Caenorhabditis elegans: one gene and its partners. The protein of the gene in region 1 purifies or fractionates together with the protein of each later gene. This does not show direct contact. Each region holds a gene or a part of one and is shown in the gene's direction. Other genes may lie near its edges.

Region 1 (5,195 bases):
ATTTACGAAGTTCTGCATTCCAACCATGTTACAAATCGAAGGGTCATTTGCACAATCAGTGACTGCGTCTACACATCCTCCGAGATTACAGAACCCACAAGCAGATGGGCAATCCTGTGCAATGATTGTCCGCCAGCGTTGATCTCTGCATTGAGCAGGAACGATGGTGGCACAATTGAGACGAGGGACTGCAAACTAGATTGATGAAGTTGGTACAGAACAGTATGTGCAACTTACAGTCGGCATTGCGGCAATTATATGCCGTAGTCATGCAGCAGAACCCACAAAGTTTCGGGCAGAGTTCAACAGCAGCTCTGACCATACCTTGATCATTCGGTCTTGCCGTACCATCTGAGAAGCATGAGGCGGGGCGAGCATCGCTGGTTCCAGCTATAACGATAGTTGTGCCATACCAACGTCTGCAAGAAACATCTGAGATAACGTTGTCGCAGGCGGTCGCTGAAGGCGTGTAGATAAACTGAAAGTCGGTTGAACCGGTCTTGTTAAAGATCGAAACTCACATCACCTAGAGTAGAATCGTATGTCGTACAGTTGAGCTGAAGGCCAATAGCTGCTTGAGAACCGCTTGTAAAAATTACAGAAACGACAAAAAATGTCAGAAAATGCATTTAAAATTGATCGATTGAACTGGTCACTCTGTTTTTATATCAACGAATTATTGGATTTGTTTATTCAGATGGTTTGTTAGAAATCATTGCTAAAAGCATTGTGGTCATTAGACAAAAGATTGTTTAACATCTGTATATTCCTAAAACATTACAAATTACAATAAAAACGTGAAACATCTAAACAAACAAAACATATGTAAGCTGATATAAAAGGCGATTGTACGGTACAATCTGACCAGCTTCGATGTATATTATTAAAAACCTATGTATTTTTATTTGCATGATCTCGGGTGTCAAGTTGGAAGTCGGCCCAGACTTTAACTGCACTAGATATGACTCCACATTGGGCGACGTAAGTGACAGAAAATTTTTAAGGAAAAGAATATCTGAAAACTGATTTGTGTTCATTAAATATTTCATTTAGCATGTCTGGTTACCATCCGCTGTTGCCTGCGACAACGTTTACCCGGATTATGTTTGCCAAAATCTCATGTTAGCTGGGCCTCCACCTCGTGTGGGGATCAGTGAAATCCGCACCTACAGGTGCTGGAGCGAATTACCAAATCCAGTACCCCCTTATTCGGCTCATCCGGATGTCATCAGAGATGCTGCATTAGCATGCCCGAAGACTTGTGCACTTTGCTGTATGACTAGTGCCTATAACTGCCGAAATGCTGAGTGTGAGTCACAACCAAATTTCTGTACATACACCAACTTTCTTACAGTTCCCCGGCTCAACTGTGCCACCATCGTTCCTGCTCAGTGTAGAGATCAACGCTGGCGAACAATAATTGCACAAGATTGCCCATCGGCTTGCGGATTCTGTAATCTTGGAGGATGTGTAGACGCAGTGGCTGACTGTGCAAATGACCCCTCAATCTGTAACTCGATTGGAATGCAGGTCTTCGTGAACCAGAACTGCCAACGGACATGCTCCAGGTGTCCATCTTCCACCAGTGCTCGAATTTCTTCCTCGACAACTTCTATCACTTCCACTTGTAGCTCGTACAACCCAGATTCCAGTTCTTCGTGTGCTGCGTGGGCGGCCAATGGCTTTTGCACTAACACCCACTATACGGTAGCAAGACGAAAAGCAACATGCGCAACTACTTGCAGAATTTGTTAACTATTATATTCAGTGCATTGATTATTTATTTATAGGAGCAAAAAAGATATTTAATTTTATTAAACTTCACATTTTGAAGCAATTAGTAATACATACATCCCTCTTTTTTTGCAAAATGTAATGGCCATTGTTGTACATGTTTGTTCAGGTTTGATTGTGAGCTTGTTTGAGTCCGAAGACCCATTGTCATGTGATGTGCAGAATTTGTATCTACTCTGAACATTGAAAGTGGATTAGCGCCAGTGGAGAAGAAAAAACTACTCTTATGATGTCAAAATAACCGAATATCATAATAATTTTTTAATTTACTGTCAAAAAAATGACAATTACTCAGTTTCTGCCACTCATAAATTTGAAAATCCACAAAAAAAACTGTTTTCCCACATTTTTAAACGTTCATAATATTTTAATTATTTATGTTTAAACATTGTAGGGGTCGGAACATGTGACATTGCTTTGGATTTCCTCAAAAGCTCATATTTTTCAAAAATTTGGCAAATTGCCAAAACTAAATTATAAAAAAATATAAACTTTCTCGGAGTGTTTTATTGTGATGCTCGGTCGTTTTAGATTATTATAAATGTATTTAGACAAAATACCCACTGGCGCTGCTCCACCTTTGATGGTACGACCCGTATTTAAAGAGAGCACATCGCCAATGGGGTAATTACGGGAAAATGAAAATAAAAAACTTCTAAAAGTGTGACTTTCAAAAAATGTGACTGCTTTTCAAAACTTTCAAGTGTTCAAAATTTTTCAAATTCTAAGATTTTGTTTCTAATAGTAAGCAATTTTTTTTTCAATTTTTCCAAACTCCAAAATGTTTGTCTTGAAATATTTACAATTATTCTTGTCAAATTAGCTTCTTTTTTCTAGAACTTCAATTTTTGTGTCTGGGAGAGTATTTAATTTCTTCATAAATCTTCCAGCATAATACGTTGTGTTTCCTCCTCCTCTTTGCCTATACACAACAAGCACAAGTCTCCGATATTTTGTGTCCTCTTCTACCGTCTGCGTCTCTTGTACCATCAATGTCACAGTTTCGGGGTGGGTATATAAACATACTCACCCAATAATTTACATGTCACAATTTCGAGAGATTGCTCATTATGGCTCGTTTTTCTGGAAAAGTTGCTCTGATCACAGGTGAGTAAGACTTTACTTTATTTTTTGAAAGAAATCTCATCCTTAAAAACATCTTTAATGTCAAGACAAAGGCTTTAATGTCAAGATTGTGCTCATTGGTTCAATTTTGTCAAACAAAAGGCTTAGAATTTCAATTTCAAAACTCATGAATGTTTTTCTTAGGATCTTCCAACGGAATTGGCCGTGCCGCCGCTATCCTCTTTGCTCAACAAGGGGCCAAAGTTACCATAACCGGAAGGAATGCTGAGCGGCTGAAGGAAACCCGACACGAAATAAAAAAATCTGGAATCCCGGCAGAAAATATTCTTGCGATTGTAGCCGACGTGATCACAGATGAAGGACAGATGAGGCTTATCAACGATACTGTTCGAAAATTTGGTCACCTTGACATTTTGGTGAACAATGCCGGAGGAGCATTGATGGATGCTCAGGGGCGTGTTGGAATGGATCAGGATATTTCGGTGTTCGATAACACTATGCAGATCAATATGAGAAGTGTGGTTACTTTGGTGCAAAAGGCCAAGGAGCATTTGATCAAATCAAAGGGAGAAATCATTAATGTTTCTGCCATGGCAGCAGGACACCATGGGGTAAGTTTACGCTGGAACTAAACTTTAATTCAACTTTCCACAGGACCCCATAGCAACTTTCTACGGAATGTCCAAGGCAGCTCTTGATCAGTTCACTAGAAGCTCTGCGATTTCTCTGATCCAACACGGAGTCCGCGTGAACTCCGTCAGTCCTGGATTTACTAAGACAGGATTCGGAGAAGCCATGGGATTTCCACCAATAGCGATGAAAAAGGTAAACCTTATATTGTGATCTTTTTAAAATATTTATTAAACCAGGTCATAAGCTTCTACGAATCCCACAAGGAGTGTGCTCCGAGTGGTGCAATTGCTCAACCTGGAGACATTGCTCAAGTCATTCTATTCTTGGCGGATAGAACCATGTCCTCATACATCATCGGACAATCAATCATAGCTGACGGAGGATCCTCGTTGGTGATGGGAATGCACGCTCATGATATGCTTGACATTTTGAAGGCATGAATTGGGGAGGCGTTCTTCTCCTTTTTTGTTGATAAATCACTGAACACGTAAAAAATAACTTTTTTCAAAATAACTTCTTTCCTCTCTTTTTTTGTTTGACACATTTTTAAAGTTTTATATATCTCCTATTTTCGTATTTTCAAATAAATATTTTTTCTCGAATAACAACTTTTTGAAAATTCCGAAAATTCTGGAATTTTCTGGAACCGTTTGGAAAATTTGGAAAATTCTGAAATGATCCAAAATATCTAGAACGTTCTGAAACTTTCTGAAAAATTCAAGAAAACTTTGGGATGTTCTAGAACATTTCGGAAAATTCCAAAATTTTTGAATTTTCTGGAACCTTCTAAAAAGTTTAAGAAAATAGTGACTGACATGAAGTGAAAACTTCCGAAAAATTCGATGAAATTGTGGAATCTCTTGAAACGTTGTGGAATTTTCTGAAACCTCCACGGCAATTCAAGCAGTTTCAAGAACAAAACTGTTAGTTGTTTAAGAAAAACGGAAACCATGCAAATTCCGTCAAACAACATTAGTAAAACTTTTCTACTAAATAAAGATTTTAGAGCGCTATGTGTTGAACTACGTTATCATTTCTTCGTATTTTTCAATTAGTATCGCGCCCTCCAACAATCTTGTGTGGCTACGCCAATGTTTAAATCATATCTTCATTCAAAAACATTCCTCAATTAAGTTGAAGAGTTCGAAACAGTTCTAATACACAAGTTGAGCTTATCCAGTTCTGAGACCAGTGACCTTCGCTTCCGAACGAACCAATTTTGGAGCTTTACCACAGATGTAGAGCATCGTTTCATATGCATTGCCACCTGTCAGCGGGCTGAAATAAAACTTTTATTAAGCTTTATTCATTGTATTAACCTACTGAATATGTAGCGGACGAGAATTTGATCTTATGGAAACGTATTGATTGGGTAGCGATGTATAGGATTGAAAATCAGTCATATAATCAGTGTTTGAAGCAACACCATTTTCCCAACTTGCTGTCCGAGTTTTCCCTAGTCCAGCGTCGCAATCAGTCTCACATGGTGCTCTTCCTCCGGTGAAGTAATGATTATCTGCTGCATTTTTGGGTTCGTTCACTGAAAACAATTACTTTTTTTCAAAAAGTCAGAAGCAAATTGCTTTAAGAGACGCCCATGGTATTACAAACACCAAATATCATACAAAAAACCATTATCTTACTTAAAGCTCTCACTGCATCCAATTCAGCTTGCGAATCGA
Region 2 (6,206 bases), on another chromosome or scaffold:
TTCCCTCTGCAGCGCCTCTGAAATTTCTCCAAGAGGAGTCCGAATAGAGACGAGCCACAGCTTGAGCACATCCTTCAAAGTCATTCCACAGCTTATCGTTTTCCGTCAGATCCTCAGTACAATCACAACGACGGTGGGCACCGCCAGTTCTCGAAGAACAGCTCGAGTGATGATTCGACATATTATGCGAACTGAAAACATTAACATAATTTTTTATTAAAAGAAAGAACTGTCGGAAATCAAGTTCGAGAATATTAGAAAAAAAACGGGGAATTTTAAATGTTATAATTAATGTTTTCAACAAAGATTAGGCAATCGCGTGAGCAAGGTTTCATTCAACAAAACGAATATCGATTAGCTACACAATCTCATCAGTCTTTCAATTGCATGGGAGTTATGCTCCCCGAGCAAGTTCTAAGCGACTAATTTATCGATTTCTGGGTGAACATCAGCATCAGATGACGAAATAATTACAGAATAAAGATAGTTAGATGGAGAGAGTGAGAAAGATTGGAAAACGATTGGGTGCGTCCGGTCAAGAAATTGAGAGGAGAAGTTATCTTAAAGATGAAATGAAAAGATAGAAATGAAGGATTTATTGGTAAATTTGCAAGATTTGAGGTAAAAAATGAGTTATGGAAAATTTAAAACCAATTTTTCAAGGATGAGCAGTTGAAATATGAATGACTCATTACGAATACACTAGAGAAAAAGCTAATCGGGGAAATAAATGGCTGGGAAATTAATAATGTTTAAAAAACAGCTCTTGTAAAACTATTTTGTATTCAGAGTATGAAAGCAGGGCATAAAAGATAACTAAAAACATGAACGATTGGCGTCGAATCATTGCGAAAAACGTGGGTATACAGAGGCCGTTATTCGAGGTTTTCAGAATTATCAATTGAGATTCAATTGCATGTTTTCATAAAAACCGACAGGAATAAGCCATTTCTTCCGATTTTTTTTTCGAAATTTTGCGAAAATCGATGGGGAAACAATGAAAAAAGTGTCTGAAACGGGCAGAAAATGAGGAAAAGAGAGTAAAGAGAGAGAGCGGCCGAAACAAAACATTCGATTAGCAATGGAGCATGTTTGCTGACTCATGTGTCGACAGTTTAAATGCTTTTTGATCATCTGTTTATGAAGTTTTTCAACATTTTTATTGATTTTCAGAACTGGAGATTTTATTGCTATTTTTTAAGAACATAAAATCTAATTTTTTAGTGTGAGAAAGTTCTTTTAAAAGTATTAAAACAAAAGAAAAGCAACACGAGTACTGTATTAAAGGCGCATACCAAAAATCATGAGTCCGGTCTCACGAAGCGTTTGCACCACAATTAAAAGTGCCATTATCGATAGTTATCTTCTCAAATTAAAATTTGTTTCGTCTTTCCGGGTGCAAATCTATTTAAGCTTGAATTTTCATTAAATCACAATGTTTTATTTGCTTAAAACATTTTAACGTGACATTTTCATTTTCAAAGCTAAGTTTCCTTTTTTATTTATTTCTGACACGTGACGATGCTAGTCCGGCCGAGAAAAATGTTTAAAATCCTTAAACGGCCCGACACATTAAGGTATTTTGTTCTCGTTTATTCAATTTTCCCGATATTTGTATTCGTTTCTCAGGCTTTTTTCCTGTTTCAACTTTTATTTTCAGCCTATGCAACCTTCCGTGCGATCAAAAAATGATAACATCGAGAAACAATGATATTGGGAACCTGATAGAACAGGTAAATGTGATAAACGGAGAAAAGTATTTATTGTTAATCAAATTAAGTTTCGTCAACGTGACACGCCACAGAAGGAACGGAAAGCGATTCTCGCTAGAATCGAGGAGATTCTTCAAACTACGAAAAATGTAGAGGTTTGTTTTCCCTTCGGAAGCATTACGGAAAACCAAGAAATTATTATTTTACAGAGTCTTTGTGTAAAATGGACTTATCTTTTGGATAACTTGTGTTGGCCTAGTCTCACAAAACACGATCGGAATGACATGAAAACGCTGGCTGGAAAAGTGATACGACTTGTTGGAGTTTTACTCTTTGATACTGAATCCTATCCAGAGTTTGTGAATTTTGCCATTTGAAGATATAAAATAAAAATTTTTCAGGTTTCTGATTTATCTTGGAACATTATATCAAAGTGTTACGAAGAAAAGTGAAGAAACACGTGCGGATATCGTGTTTTCAGTGTATTTCATCGTTGGAGTCATCAGTCAAAAAACGGAGAATCGTCTAATTGCTACCGACACTGAAAATGTCGAAAAATCATTAGACTGGATAATCAAAGTGCTTCCGAATTCATCAATATCAGTTTATAACCACTGTTTGAAAGGATTTGTACTTGTTGCAAACACATTTCCAAATGTTTATGCTGCAATGTTTGAGGTATTTTATTTGAAAAATAATAAAAAAATTTCGCTTTTTCCAGTCAACCCTCCGAGCAATTCTGACCAACCTTCCCGATTTCAACAGTCATGAAAAGAATTTTGAGCTTCTCATTGATACAGTGATGCGATTTTCTGATCAACTTAATGAGAAGCCTCATTTGGCAGAAGAAATGGTTCGAATTATTCGACCGGATATCAAAAAGAATGGATTGGGAAATATGAGAGAATTGAAGAAACGAATGAAACTGACAATGGCACTCGTGAAAATGGCGAAAAGTCAAAAAATGCTTGAGGAGACTAATCAGATGGTGAGAATATGATGAGGGAACACATTATTTGCTGAAATATCTGAAAATTTCAAAAATAAATTATCTAAAAAAGCTTTAGAAAGGCAAATTCTCAAAAAGTTGAAATATTTATTTTGTTATTTGTGAATAATAAGTTCCAAGGACTTAATTTTGTTCTTTAAAGTGTGATATTGATTTTATTCAATTCATCTTTATTTTAAAATTCAAGTTCGTGGACCAAAAACAGATTTTCCCAACAAAAAGTTAACAAACTGCTTATTATTCTTTTTATTCAATAAATTTCAGATTTCTGAAATGTCTATCGAACTCGAGGAAAACGGAGGAAAATGGTCATCAGCTTCACTTATAACTATCGTTTGTGATGTTTTCAATGAGCTCTTGATATTGGGAAAAGATGATGTAAAATTGCAAAAAGGAGTTGAAGAATCATTGTGCAATGTTCTGAAAGACTTGAATCTTTCTAATCAGAGTACTATGGAGAAACAAGCATTTTTCAATTCTCTTGCAAAGGTTTGGTTTTTTGCCACAAAAATATCCGAAATTAGAGTATTACCCGAAATTTGGCGCTGAAACTAAAACTACGGTACTTGGTCTCGACACGACAACTTTTTGCTAAATGCGAAACGGTGTGCGCCTATTATTACTGTACTTTTAAACCCTTGTTGCTGCGGAATATTGCTATTTTTAAACGTTTTTTTCACGATTTATTAAAATTTATTTGAAAAACTATGATAAAACTTTGATGCACTGAACGAGAATTTGAAACTACTGTAACCTGTAAAGGTGTACATCATTCTGCATTTCCCAAAAATGTTTCGTGTCGAGCGTAGGTGCTGTATTGTTGGCGCAAAATGTTGCGTCTGGGTAATACAAGCTGCTGGTGTATGTAATTGATTTCAGATTGTCAAACAACTTCCAGCAGAGTCACAAGTCAAAACTAGAGTTCATCAGATTGTTTTCAACACGGAAACTGGACTTTTCACACCCAAAAACCGCGATAATCGAATGTTTGGGTGAGAAAAAGTTTTTAAGTCGATGCTCTATCGTATCGGGGAGTACGATGTTTTTCAAAATCAATTTTTATAATTTCAGACATAATATGATATACAAGGATCTTATCAATCTTGTCTCTGTGCTTCTTACGCCTACATCACTCAATCATCTACAAGCGACATATACGGATTTGAGGAAAATAATGATAGGTTAACTTTAATTAAATCTGTGAATTCAATTGATTAATTATTTCCAGATAGCATGTCACGATTGAAGCAAAGTGAAGATACTCCGTATAGTGATAATATTCGATGGAATGAATCAATCCTTTTGCTTTTCTTTTCGTCACTTCAAAGTATATCATGTGCCAAGAGTTCTCTTATTGTGGTTTGTTTAAAAATAACAATTATTTTCGCAGAAAACAACGATTTTTAACAATTAAAGAACAAATTTTAGATGATGGGAATCCGTCCGTCAATTTTTGAATTCTTCTCATCGGAACTTCCACTCACAGAATATTGGCTTGCTTCAAATCATCCAGAAGTCTATCACCTATTTATCACAATATTTGTTGGACATTTGAAAGCGTGAGTATGACAGAATAAATACTTTAATAAATCAATTCTTTCAGTCACGACTTCTACATTGTTCAATCTGATTATATTGTTCGTGGTGATAGCATTGGACAAAGTATAGGACAAACGAAACGAGATTATGCACGGAAACAAGTTGTTGCTCTACAGAAAATTATCAACAATTTTGGAGACAAATTGTGGAAGAAGACTAGGTTTATTCTTGAGCATTCATTATATTTTATTTTCAATTTTTAATAAATTGTGATTCAGACTGATGATATCTTCATGGCTTCACTCTCTCATTGCAACTGCTTGTGAACATCAAATCGGAAGTGATAGTTTCAGTCAACGAGAATGGGTTCGATTAAGGAATACTGTCATTCATCAGTCGGTGCTCACATGGAATAATGAATGGTATACACTTGAATTGCTTGAATTTCTAGCAGTTTTCACATTTTCTCAATCATTTGTACCAAGCAACACTTGCTGGAAAATCAAAAAAAAATCAATTTTTAAAATATCCCGCTACGCGCCCAACATTGAAATATATAATTCCTGGGACTTCTTTTTGGAATTTTAATTAAAAATAATTATATTCCGTATTTTGATAATTTAAAATTCTTTCACTTATTTTTGAGAAGTTTGCATGTTGGATATCAACATACTAAATAGTTTTCTGGGAAGTGGCCAGGTTTTTCGGTTGTAGGAAAGACTTGTATTATATTGTTCATTGAAAACAAGTATATCAATAGTATTCTTTTCTGAATTGGCACTTATAAAAGTGAAATCGAGATGCTGAAAACTAGTTTCTTCTGTCAGTTTCAGTTTAGATTGATTATAGTTCTTTTCTCTCTATTCTCCTCATATTTTCTAAAAATTTGAACTAAGTTATATATTTTCAGTGTAAATCAAGCATTGACCATCCTCTCCACTGCTACAAAATGGTCAGAACTGACGTCAGACATCCATCGAGATATTGCGGATAAAACGAAAAAAGCAAAGTGGAAGGAGGCAACGACAATTTGGGAATCTGGAGATTGTAATACTTATATCAGGTATTGAAAAGAACTCTTTAAAATTATTTCAAGCTTTTCGATTTTATTCCACTATTTGATTCAAAAAAATGTTTGCACTCAATATGTTTCAAAGAGTGTTTATGTATTTATGACTATCGAAAAAAAAAAGAACTGAATGACGGATAATCGGTGTCTACATTCAGGCGGCGGTCACGTATACTCTAAACAATTTTGAATTATTTTTGACATTCTTTGTGAAGTTTTAAACCTGTAATTAGCTAAATCGAAATGATGAAAGACGGAAAACGCAAGATTTTATTTGAAAACTTTGTATAAAACTGGTATCTTTCACCCTCAAATCTGGTTATTTCAGTTTAAAAACTAGAGAGCATTAGCTCATTGAGCTCTGGTTCTTGTTTATTTATTTACTCGAATGAATAAAACAAGCGACTTTTATTGTTTTCATGCCTACTTGCACCTGCGTCTAACTAACTAACTATTAGGCGAGAGTTTCTGCATGAATTACACACTGGAAATTTGCCCAAAACAAACGTCACTCTACTTGACAGTCTATAGCTTGTTTTCATCGCCTGGAGGTGGAGTAGCGTGAATACGGATTTGCTTTAAAATATTTGAAACAGACTGAAATTCATAAGTACCAGACAAAAAACGAAAAAAAAAGTATTTCTTGTTTTTTATACAACTTCGTAAAAGTAAAATGATTTATTTTCCAGGCAATCCATGTCTACAGTCTATCAAATGTCACAGGAACGACAACAGAAGACAATTACATCGACAAGTTTTGGAGCCGAAGAGTTTATAATAATTACGAATTTCTTGTTGAAACAGGCAACACCAACTACTTTCAAGTGAGTTCATAATTAAAACCTTTCTACGTATAAATTGAGTTCCAGAAAAGGTC
Region 3 (5,492 bases), on another chromosome or scaffold:
TTGCAACTTTGAAAGTAAGTTTTAAAAGATAAAGGATATGGCTATCTTCTTTTCGGAGAATGGGATAAAGATTTCGGAAAATAAAATCTACGAATTTTCACACTTAATGCTTAAGATTTCGAGACAAACGAGATCAAAATGATTGCTTCGTAATATTTTGAAAAAATTCCAAATCAGAAAACTTAGAAACAAAGAAAATCAAAGTGCAACACAAGGAAAATTAGAAGCACACAGGCACCGAAAACTCGCTGGTGTTGGATAGAGGGGCGGTCTGGGAGGCTGATGGGAGATGAGAGAAGTGCAGAGATGTAGAGACGACAGAGAAGAAGAGGCAATTGCAATGACACTCACACAAAAAACGCAAAAACGAAGGGAGGCCGATCGGTGAGAAAAGAGAGTGCAAGAGAGAGAGAGAGCGAAGGAAGAATTTCAGTGTGTTTGGCCGGTGTGTTGTCCCTTTTCTTCTCCTTCTTCTTCCTTGGGGACCGGCTGGCCGCCGTGTCGACTCAATTCAGTTGGCCGGACGGTCGCTTGACGGCCACCGCGGCTTCTTTTTCCCTCGTCTCTCCGGCGTTCGTTTAATGTCTTTACGAAGTGAAGCAAGCATGTCTGCGCATGTTTCAAAGTAAATGCTTCATCGTTTGCTTGTTATCTCTCACTGTCGCCGTCTCTCTTTCTTTCTTCTCACACCGGGGCTAGAGGCCTGAGTGCCCGCGCCATGCCGTTCGATACTAGACATGACACACGAATCGATACTTTATAGTTTTTAGAGGGTTTGAGTTTATTTTTACTAGACTAGTAATTATTTCTTTGTTTCGTTAAGCTAAAATAACTTTTTTTTAAATACCTGATGTTTTTGTTGTTGATTCGCTCCGCATTTTTGAACGCCCGATCGTCTTGCCGTTTGCGCTGTTCTAAAAAATAAATGTATTTAAGCTAATAAATTTAATATTTATCATTAAATCATAAGAAAACATTCAAAGAATTAGAAAAATAAAGTTTGTTCGATTTTACAATCTGTTTTCGAAACAAAAATGTTCCCGTAAACACTGACGAGCTTTAAAGGGACATTGCTCCCCACCGTAGTTTCTGCATTACTTCTGGCGCATCGTGGCGAGACCTTATCAGTTAATTTTGAAAATCCTACGCATTTCGCTTTGTTTTTCTTCTGAATTCTCATGTTTCTCAAGTTTTCGCCAATTAAAATTTCAACTTTTTATTTATATATTAAAAATGTATTCAATTTTTGTTCGCAGAAAATTATTGCTGTAGGAAAACTACTTTACAAACTCTTATCTAGGCGTTCAAACATTTATTTTTCAAAAAATGTTGTTTATATTCCGCTTATCACATAACTATTTCATATTGATTGATAACCGTCCTGTCGTCACTGATTCTTCCTTTCTCCCACGTGCTCGAACCGAAGAACTCTTGAGACATTGAGTGCAAATAGCGCTTTTCTCTTTCTCTCTCTTCTCAGTCGATATCCTATTTATTTATCAGTGGGACGGACTGAAGACTATCCCAATTATTATCTATTTAATATTATCTGTTCCATTCATCTTATTTTTAATAGAACCGTTTTAGTTTTCGTCAAAATTCATTTTATTGACTATGAGTCATTCCATTCCACATTTTGTTTTTCTCGTATGTCATTCCTTTTATTTCAAGGCTTGTGATCTTAATGGAATAATACTGAACATCGTCCATATAATCCCCTGCTAATACGTGACAATTGACCCACAAAAACTCAATAGCAATCCTCGTCCCGTCTCTGCTCCAAGCTCATTTGCTTTTTTCTGCTCATTATCGAACCGGGGCAGGCGCCGTCGCACGCATACATGTCCATGCTGCTCGTGCAATGCGCCTCGTCTTTTCTGGCTTTCTCGCCCCGAGCAACAACATTTCGCTTCGTCTTATTCTATAGAAAAAGTGTGACTGCTTGCCACTTTGTGGATTTATCCATAGCATCTTCCACTCTTCATTCCCATTGACGTATATAATATATCTACCGGATTAGGTGCTATGGAAACGGCGGTGATCCTCGACATAGCCCTCATCGCTCTTCTTCTTTTCGCCCATTTCAACACAATAATATCTCATGACACACATGTCAGTCTCATTTATTTTTAGGAAACTTGTCTTGTCTATACAACCAGCCTTATCACTTAAGTGTGCATTCACTCTTAACTGATCACTCAACCGAACTGTACGATGTTTTTCTTTTTTCTTATTGATTTTATCTCACACTTCCATTCGTCCCATGTTGTTTTCAAGTAATATGAGAAAAATGCAGCTTGGAATTATTAATAGGTTTTTTTCCTCCTTTTTTCTCTCTCCCTTCCCCTATTGCTAGTGTTGTTTGGTTGTCACATGATGATGATGATGCCATAATAGCAAAATCTAGAGCGTCGAGAGTAGATAGTAATGCACATCAAATCTTTCCGTCTCAATTGAAAATTAATTCAAAACCCGTTAGAGAGAAACCGAGGAACACAAATTTAATGGTTTTTTTTCAGAATTTTCTTTCTGTAAAATGTCCAATCGACATGTCTATGACACAGTATTATTTTTGTTTTCAACATTTCCACTCTCGGACAACCTTCTCTCGTCTTCTATACATCTATGATCGACAGTATTAATTCACAATTCATTTTCATTGTAGTTATCTTTACATAATTTTTTTTCTCATTTTTGAACTCTCGACGGTTCGAACAAATTGAGTACATCGTTTTTATGTTTTGAATATCAATTTTTAAAATATATATTAAAATATTTACAGAACTCGGGTAGATCAACTAGACACTCTGTTGCCCTTTTCGACAGTTCTTCCCGAAACTCAAAAAATCAAAATGCGAGGAGAAGCCGGAGAGTTGGCCGTCAGCAGTGGTGAAATCGCGACCGGAGCCTTGTCACCAGAGAAACAGCAAGAGCAAGAGCTTATGGGCAAATTGGCGGCAACTGGTAAACTTCCTGCTCGACCGGCCAGTTCATTTTTGCAGAAGAAGTTGCAACAGAGGGTAGGTATTGTGCTCGGACGGTTATTGAGTCATAGTTTTTTTGTTGCTGCAGAGCATCAATAGTATGATTAAGACTGTAGCATTTTTAGAAGACAATTAGTCATATTTAAAAACAACAGAATGAAATCGATTATTTTCCAGAAATTTTTCGACTCTGGAGATTATGCAATGGACAAGTCGAAAGCTGGAACAGGATTGGGATCCAAACCGCATCCACTGGCCGGAGGACCTCCACCAGCAGCTCCCCCAGTTGTCGCGCAGAGAAGTCCTGCACCAGCAGCAACCACTCCGTCTCCATCTGCTTCTCCGATCTCACAGCAGACAAATCGGCCAAGTTCTGATAGAAATAGTGATGATGACAATCTGCAGGTGATTTTTCAATGATCGCTGCTGATCAGCACAAACGTTTTCTTTTTTCAGATTCCGCGTCCCGACACAGTTCCACAGCGAAAAGCTTCGATTATCAACCCAAGTGTGCACTGCAAACTGAGCCCAGCGCCGCATGTTCAGGTGAGAAAATTGGATATCAACAAAGCAAATATTGCGAGGATTCACGCATTTTTTTGCACTTTTTTGGGTGGTGGTGTTGCCTGATCTGACAGTCAAATAGAGACGCAGAACGCGTCCAATTAGGCTCTTTGGCGCGTTTTGTTAGGCGTAATCAGTGGTAGGCGAGAGGGAGAGAACTAAACTGGCGAAAAACAGAAAAAAAACCTTTGGTTTGAGCTATCTGACAGTCTGGTTTGTGTGCTTATTGGCAGAAAGGGCATTTGAAGCGCAAACAATAAAATGGGAAAGCTGATAATTGAGACACGTTTTCCTTTGAACGATGTTGCGAAAAGGGGATTTAAATTTTCCAAAAATGTTTATTTTCAGCATCACGATGCGGCTTCTCCAAACGCAACAAGCGAATAAGTCGATTTTCAAAGGAAGCTTCTTATGTATACACATCTTCTTCTGAAAATTGTTCATCTCTCGTTTCATCCTCAACATATTGTGCACAGTATTTTATCAATCACTTTGGAGTTTGGAATTCAAATGTAATCCCTTCCAATTTTCCCTCCTAATTTTTCAGTTTTATCCTATTATTTTATACTTTTTATCCGTTTTACCCTTTTCCCGCGAAAATCGCAAACCAATCCAATCATAATCATCATCATGAAAAGGCTGTTTCTTGCTATTTCTTTCTCTCTCATAAGTCACATTGAAAGCACATTTTCCATTCTCTCAACACCTTCCCAACCTATTTCTGTTCCCTTTTCTATCAGTTGCTGTCAGCTATCGTTTCCAAACAGGTATTCAATATACACAACCACTGTTCTGTCGATCCGCACAACAATTCTCTCTAAGTTTTACATCAATTGTTCTTTAAAAACTCTGAAAATGATGTTCTGTAGTTAGCCTCTTTTCAAACACTTTCCCGATTTCTCTTCTTTTTTCTGGTCTGTCCCATTCTCAATTTCCTCCTAAAACCTTTTTTGGAACTTTATTGTATTTAACGAAACATTGAACAAAAAAAACATGCAGAGGCAAATAAGGCGTTTGAGGTATCAAATATGAAATTTAAAAGAATAGAGCAATACTATAGGTATAATTTGTTAGGAAGGCTGTACTTACACCGTAAAGTTGAGTTTAAAAAAGTATTCAAAAAGATGTTTCAGGCCTAGAAAATAAGGATTCCAATTACAGATTTTAGGCTTTGGATGTGGATTTCTTGTTTCTCCATTCACAGAAAACAATGATTACGACCAGCAAAAAGATGGTTATCAAGATAACAGCAAGTGGGTACACCCATTGGAATTCACCTGAAAATTGAAATAAAAACGATCAGAAATCGGAGAAATTGGAAAATACATCAAGATGTAGAAACCTATTTGGAATTCAAACTGTTTTCAAATTCGGCGTGTACCCCTCTCGGACAAAAAAATGGGTTTTTAAATGTTTGACAATGTTTCGTATTTTTAATAATTTTACATTATTTCTTCTTTTATTTAATTGCAGTGAAGACGATTAAAAATCTATGAATTAATCAAACATCCCATCAATAAAATGTTTTTAAAAAGCAACAATTCTCAGTTTTCTGAAAAAATCAATTCGAAACCTAGTAATTCTGTTCTGTTGCTCAGAAAAATCCCAGGAAAATACAAAATATCAAAACATTAATTATTTTATAGTCCAAGAGGAGTACACGGGAAATTAAACCCATTTGCGCGCGAATTTGAAAATAGATATGTAGACGAAGGTGCGGATTTTCGGCTCTTCGAACTTTCTAAGAGGCTTTTTTGAAATTTTTTTCAGAAAAGAATATGTAAACTCACTTCTAACATCAACCATTTTATCAACGACCAATAACATTTTACTTGTTTTTCCATTTACAGTATACTCATTTACAGCTTCACATGAATATGTTCCAGCATCTGTGTAATTAGCATTTGTAACAATTACAGTACTTCCTTCCATTGAAACTGATTG
Region 4 (5,580 bases), on another chromosome or scaffold:
AGTACTCGGAAGTTCGCATTGCTAAAAAGACTAGAATCGGAATTCTCCCATCAATTTTTCGCTTTGCAAACTTTGTGAGACGTGCTGAAATTATCTTTGAAAATGCCGAGAGAAGAACTGACTTGGAGAAGGCATATTTCAATCTTTGCCGGGCGGTTTGTGACGGGATACAAAAAGCTGCCGCCAATCAATACAGCAAGTCTCCGTCGTCTGTAGTCAAGTTTGAAAATTACCACGAGCTCTATTGTAAGTGTTCTAGGAAACAATAAAGTGTGATGGTGATAAATGTTTCAGTGACTTTGTCGGAGCTAAAAATCTCATGTTTGGATCAACAACGAAAAGATGCGAAAGCGCTCAAGGAAGAACATATTGATGCGTACGTAAAAGAGTTTATGGGTCGTCCACTCAAAGAGATTCAGGTGATATATAAATATGGAAATTTATGTTTCAATACTGTGCTGCCAATGCTTGAAAAAAAACTTGACTATTATGCTTTAAACTAGTTTTTTCTTTCTAATTTTGGCTTGTCATTCTACAACATTTGTAAAAAAAGGCACTCTACCATAGTTTAAAGTTGGAGTACCAAAATTTGAGGCTTTGCTATTTTAGACCCAACAATTCAGCGCATATACGCCCAATAAAAGACCAACAAATTTATTAAAGAGTGATCAATAAATAAAAATTAAGTTCCAGACGCTGCGACACCGAGAAGTTGTAAAAATTGTGATTTTAGCTGCAAAACCTTTTTTCCGACTTTGAACCTCCATAACTTTTTTTGAGGAATTTTCAAAACATCTCATTCGAATTTCGGTACTCCACCTTTAAACAAAAATCTCCCAAAACTATCGATATGTATTCCAAAAATTTCAGACGTTCTTCGACAATGTCAACAACTTTATCGAAACGCGTGGAATTCGTCCTGATGAAATCTCGTATCAACAACAATTCAGTCGCATTGAGCTTAAAAAGGTTGAATTTCTAGTTAATCATCAAAATCGCCATTTCATAAATTTTCCAGGTAATTTCACAACATCCGGGAAAAGAAGTGAAAAAAGGACTCGAGCAACTGTACAAGAAAATTGAGAAGAACCTGGTTGCCAATTCATCACTTTTGCAAGTTGTATGGAGAGATATGCAAGAGCAATTTGTCAAGCAAATTGCGGAATACAACAAACTGATTCTCACTTGTTACCCAGGCTCGAAGATTGAGCTCGAAGTTTCCACTGACACTGTACTTCAGTTCTTCTCAGAAATTGCTCAACAACACTAATATTACGACGAATAATTTTATTGAATTTTGTTGTTTTAATTCATTTAAAATTTAGTTTTAATTTATCAGAACTCTAATACTTACTGAACCATGCTTTGTAATATATTTATTTATCTATTCTGTAATAGGTGAACTTCGTTACATTACTGATGTCTGTAATATAAATTTACGGGTGTTCCCCATTCGAAAATAGTAGTAATGCTTGCTTTTTTGAAAAATAAATGTCTTGCTTGGTGACTTTTATTTCACGTATTTTCAAATGCTCACAAAAATTTCACGGAACTGACTTCTTGGTTACACATTTGTAGAAATTTTGACTGAATGTTTGCATTGAACTGGTCAACTTAAGAATCTGACATGCAAATGGTGTGTTTTCTGAAGAACACACTTTGGCAACTTTTAATAAAAAAGGGGTGTAACACGATTTAAATCTAATAAAAACAACTTCTATAATGTTATTCCGTTTATATCTCACTTTATGTTTTACATTTTACTCTTATATACATTTTTTGACTCATTTATACAGGGTGGTCCATAATTATGGACCACCCTGTACTTATATCTTATTTAAAACTATTTCATGTAAGAATTGTTTTAACAGCGCATTTTTTTTCATCACTCGATTTAAAGGTAAAATTGATAGGCCGCAATCTATTTTGGAAAACTTCAGAACAAAATTTAACATTTTAAGAGGTAACTGTGAAGGTTTATAAGAGAATTATAAACCGATCTAACCACTAAACATGGTAACGTAGAAAAAGTAAAATTAGGGGAGGGGGGATGTTTATTTATTCTTGGTTTTCAATTCTTATCAGACTCTGTAAAGTAAAATGAACATAACTTGTTCGAATAGTGTAGGAATTTCAAACAAGCTACAAATCTAGCTCCACATACGCGTGGAATAGCCGGTCATAAATCGTCTTCCGTTAACCGCATGGCTAGATCCACACCGATTCCATTTTTCTTGAATAAAACAATAGCTTGATGAAAATTGGGTAGCCACCGAAAAAACTGATTCGCGATCCGGATTATTGGTGACAAACATACGGCAAGTGAAAGTGTTGCACTGATAGAAACCGATACGAGAATATGCCTTTTGGGCCCCCCCCCCCCCCCCCCTACGGCTTCACTCCCGGTGTTGTAGATCTGACTTTCACTTGCCTTATCTCGAGGAATCTGGAGAGGAGAAGGAGGGACAACCGATCCGCGCGCGCGTAACAATACGGGAGATATAGAGGAAAAGCAGCAAAAAGACATTTTGATGACCTTATTTTCTTGTCGTTGTCGAGACGGCCATTGTCCCTTCCACGCCCAGCTTTTCATTGTAGTTCAAATCGCTTCTCATTGACAATCAACCTGCCAATTGTTTCTCGGATGCATACGCCGATCATATTCCTTTTGGCTTTAGTGCCAGTGGCCCTTGCCTCCTACTGTGGACAATCAGCTATTCCATACACTTTCCAAGTGAGCAACTCCTTGATTTTTAAAGAACAGAAAACTAATAAAGCCCATGATTTGTAACTGTACATATACTAAATGTTCACTTTAGGTACTAAGATCTGGCTACCCTGTTCTTGGGTGTGCAAGACCAAAATGCTTCGGATGGACTGCAAATGGAACAAGAGCTGGAGAAACTGCTCAATTCTATAGAGTTGCTGGAAAGGATGATGGATACCTCAGAAGATCCGATCAATTCATCAAGAGCCCAAGCAAAAATCCAAACTTTGTTCCACAACTTGCGGTTTGTCATTTATATGTATTTGCAAAAAAAAACGGTGTACTTTGTTTCAGATTTGCACTGATGAATACAAATCAAAAACATGCGAGGAGGGAGAGTGGGTTGGAGGGCTTTCACCACAATCGGATCCATTCGCTGACCAACTGGAGGTATGTTGAAAATGAAAAGTGAAATGACAATTTAATTAATCTTCCAAACATCGTTTAGATGAAATGCTGCAGTTATCAAGTTCTTATCAGCGCAGAGGATCGCGGAAACGCTATTGTTAAGCAAGGACAATTGGTAGTTGGAGGAGAGGTTTTGGATGGTTCTAGACTTGTTGCTTTTGATTACATCTCGAATTTGAGCAAGAGTGTTTCCGAAAATGGAACGTGAGTTTTATTCCCTCTCGAAACTAAGACCAATTTAATTCAATTTAAGCGTTGTTTACGTTGCTTCTATCAAGCGAATGCCATGCTTCGACGAAGAGCAAGCTGTGGAGAACAAGAAACGAGAAGTGAGAACTTTTCAGGCAAATGCTCAAATATTTCCGATTAATTTGGATGATACACTATTTATTTGGAGTAATTTCAGAACACAATCGTCGAGGCCGCCGCCGTTGTTGAACAACCAGCAACCACCCCAACAGCTTCTTCTGTTGTCACTCACCAACCATCAGTCACAGTTCCACAACAGGGAGCTCCACTTAACATTCAACCATATGCTCCACAACAACAACAAGTCCAACAGCCAGCTCAAGTCGCTTACCCGGGAGTTGTGAATCCAGCCACAAACTACGGACAATTTTCTCAACAAGCGTACGGAGTCGCACAAAATGGACAATGTGAGTATAGAACAATCAATTATGGTTAATATAGATTGCATGTTTTAGATTCTGGATATCCACAATATGCTCAACAGCAACCTCAGCCACAATACTACCAAGACCCATTTGCCGCAATGCTTCAACAACAGCACCAAGCATTCCAGCAACAAGGTTAGCATCGCCTAATTTCAGAATCACAATGAGATATATCCCATTTTCCAGTTTATGCTAACCAGCAGCAGCAACAACAACAGATGCAGCAGCAGCAGCAGCAACAACAAGCACAACCACAGCAACAGCAGCAACCAGCTCAGCCACAGCAACAACTTGGATTTGCCCCACTCCCACAGTTCCCACAACCAATGATGTTCCAAGCTCCACAAGTTGTCGCTCAGCCAGGAGTAGCAGCAGCAGCAGGAGTTCCACAAATGCCAATTGGTGCTCTTCCACAAATGCCGGTTCAAATGACATCTACACTTCCACCAATGACCCTCCCAAAACTTGAGGATCTTCCAAAGCTTCAAATTCCAAGCGTAGAAGATGTTGAGCAGGTCATCCCACCAGTCCAGCGTGCCATTCTAACCAGTGTTGCCAAATTTTTCGGAGTCCTCTAAAAGCGCCAACTAGCTAGCCTCAATTATCACATATGATTTCATTTGTCCCATTTCGAAAGCTCGTACTAATAACACAAAAATCTACTATTTATCTGAGAACAGTAATAAATACAATTTTCAATTATGACTTTACAAAACAAAAAAACGGAAAAAGGAAATAATACTCGAACAATTGGAATACGCAAATGGCGCATTTTGTATGTGGGATGAAAATTCACAAGTAAACACGTCAAATACCGAGCAGGCCGGTGAAATGGCAACATAATAGTATGGATTAAGGCGGAGTGGGTAGTGCTGGAAATTTAGAGTGGAATGTTTCCGTGCTTCTTCCATGGGTTCTTCAACTTCTTGCTTTCAAGCATGTTCAAATCCTCGCACACCTTCTTTCTGGTCTCTGATGGAATGATAATGTCGTCGACGAATCCTCTGACAGCGGCTGGGAACGGGTTGCTGAACAGCTCAGTGTATTCCTCCTCGTGTTGAACGGCGTGCTCCTTATCATTACGGAAAAGAATGGAGACTGCACCCTTGGCTCCCATCACAGCAACCTCAGCAGTTGGCCAGGCGTAGTTGATGTCTCCACGAAGATGCTTTGATGACATGACATCGTAAGCTCCTCCGAAGGCTTTGCGAGTAATGATGGTAATCTTTGGAACGGTGGCCTCGGCAAAAGCGTAGAGAAGTTTGGCTCCGTGACGGATGATACCTCCGTACTCTTGGGCAGTTCCTGAAAAGATATTTGATTTAATATTTGAAATACTTTCAATCGGGAAAATTTACCTGGCAAGAAACCGGGAACGTCAACCAAAGTGATGATTGGGATGTTGAAAGCATCGCAGAATCGGACGAAACGAGCTCCTTTCACGGAAGAGTTGATATCAAGGCATCCAGCAGCAAACTTTGGATTGTTTCCAACAATTCCGACAGTGCGTCCGTTCATTCTGGCGAATCCAATGACCAAGTTCTTGGCGTAGTCTGGCATAATCTCGAAGAAATCTCCCTCGTCGACAAGAGCGTGAACAACGTCCTTCATGTTGTAGGCAGCAGTGCTTTCCAATGGAACAACAGTATCCAAAGATGGAACAGCTCTGTCCCATGGATCCTCAGCAGCACGGATTGGAGCAGCATCAGTGTTGGAGAGTGGAAGATAGTT

Evidence for each region.
Region 2: the proteins of F26D2.15 (region 1) and smg-1 fractionate together in Caenorhabditis elegans (co-fractionation; one large-scale study listed by BioGRID). This does not show direct contact.
Region 3: the proteins of F26D2.15 (region 1) and ensa-1 fractionate together in Caenorhabditis elegans (co-fractionation; one large-scale study listed by BioGRID). This does not show direct contact.
Region 4: the proteins of F26D2.15 (region 1) and wrt-2 fractionate together in Caenorhabditis elegans (co-fractionation; one large-scale study listed by BioGRID). This does not show direct contact.

What each region holds. Positions count from the first base shown.
Region 1 is NC_003283.11:16,434,982-16,440,176, forward strand, and holds F26D2.15 (DeHydrogenases, Short chain), read left to right. Parts: upstream 1-2,864; coding exon 2,865-2,901; intron 2,902-3,063; coding exon 3,064-3,491; intron 3,492-3,534; coding exon 3,535-3,705; intron 3,706-3,749; coding exon 3,750-3,953; 3' UTR 3,954-4,091; downstream 4,092-5,195. Other genes in the region: F26D2.13 (ShKT domain-containing protein), read right to left, coding at 1-188, 238-478, 522-629; F26D2.14 (ShKT domain-containing protein), read left to right, coding at 874-981, 1,054-1,309, 1,355-1,755.
Region 2 is NC_003279.8:6,909,034-6,915,239, reverse strand, and holds the start of smg-1 (Serine/threonine-protein kinase smg-1), read left to right. Parts: upstream 1-1,688; coding exon 1,689-1,733; intron 1,734-1,780; coding exon 1,781-1,867; intron 1,868-1,921; coding exon 1,922-2,067; intron 2,068-2,113; coding exon 2,114-2,390; intron 2,391-2,433; coding exon 2,434-2,700; intron 2,701-2,985; coding exon 2,986-3,210; intron 3,211-3,600; coding exon 3,601-3,713; intron 3,714-3,792; coding exon 3,793-3,902; intron 3,903-3,949; coding exon 3,950-4,080; intron 4,081-4,149; coding exon 4,150-4,280; intron 4,281-4,324; coding exon 4,325-4,480; intron 4,481-4,538; coding exon 4,539-4,682; intron 4,683-5,170; coding exon 5,171-5,323; intron 5,324-6,018; coding exon 6,019-6,153; intron 6,154-6,192; coding exon 6,193-6,206. Other genes in the region: haps-1 (Essential protein Yae1 N-terminal domain-containing protein), read right to left, coding at 1-181.
Region 3 is NC_003279.8:9,849,082-9,854,573, reverse strand, and holds ensa-1 (mRNA stability protein), read left to right. Parts: upstream 1-2,782; 5' UTR 2,783-2,852; coding exon 2,853-3,020; intron 3,021-3,161; coding exon 3,162-3,389; intron 3,390-3,440; coding exon 3,441-3,530; intron 3,531-3,896; coding exon 3,897-3,935; 3' UTR 3,936-4,576; downstream 4,577-5,492. Other genes in the region: Zwei Ig domain protein zig-1, read right to left, coding at 4,713-4,825, 5,339-5,492.
Region 4 is NC_003284.9:3,091,361-3,096,940, reverse strand, and holds wrt-2 (WaRThog (hedgehog-like family)), read left to right. Parts: upstream 1-2,591; 5' UTR 2,592-2,644; coding exon 2,645-2,734; intron 2,735-2,819; coding exon 2,820-3,011; intron 3,012-3,061; coding exon 3,062-3,157; intron 3,158-3,215; coding exon 3,216-3,379; intron 3,380-3,428; coding exon 3,429-3,504; intron 3,505-3,581; coding exon 3,582-3,831; intron 3,832-3,879; coding exon 3,880-3,984; intron 3,985-4,035; coding exon 4,036-4,427; 3' UTR 4,428-4,546; downstream 4,547-5,580. Other genes in the region: sec-3 (Exocyst complex component 1), read left to right, coding at 1-246, 295-419, 871-969, 1,019-1,270; pccb-1 (Propionyl-CoA carboxylase beta chain, mitochondrial), read right to left, coding at 4,730-5,154, 5,208-5,580.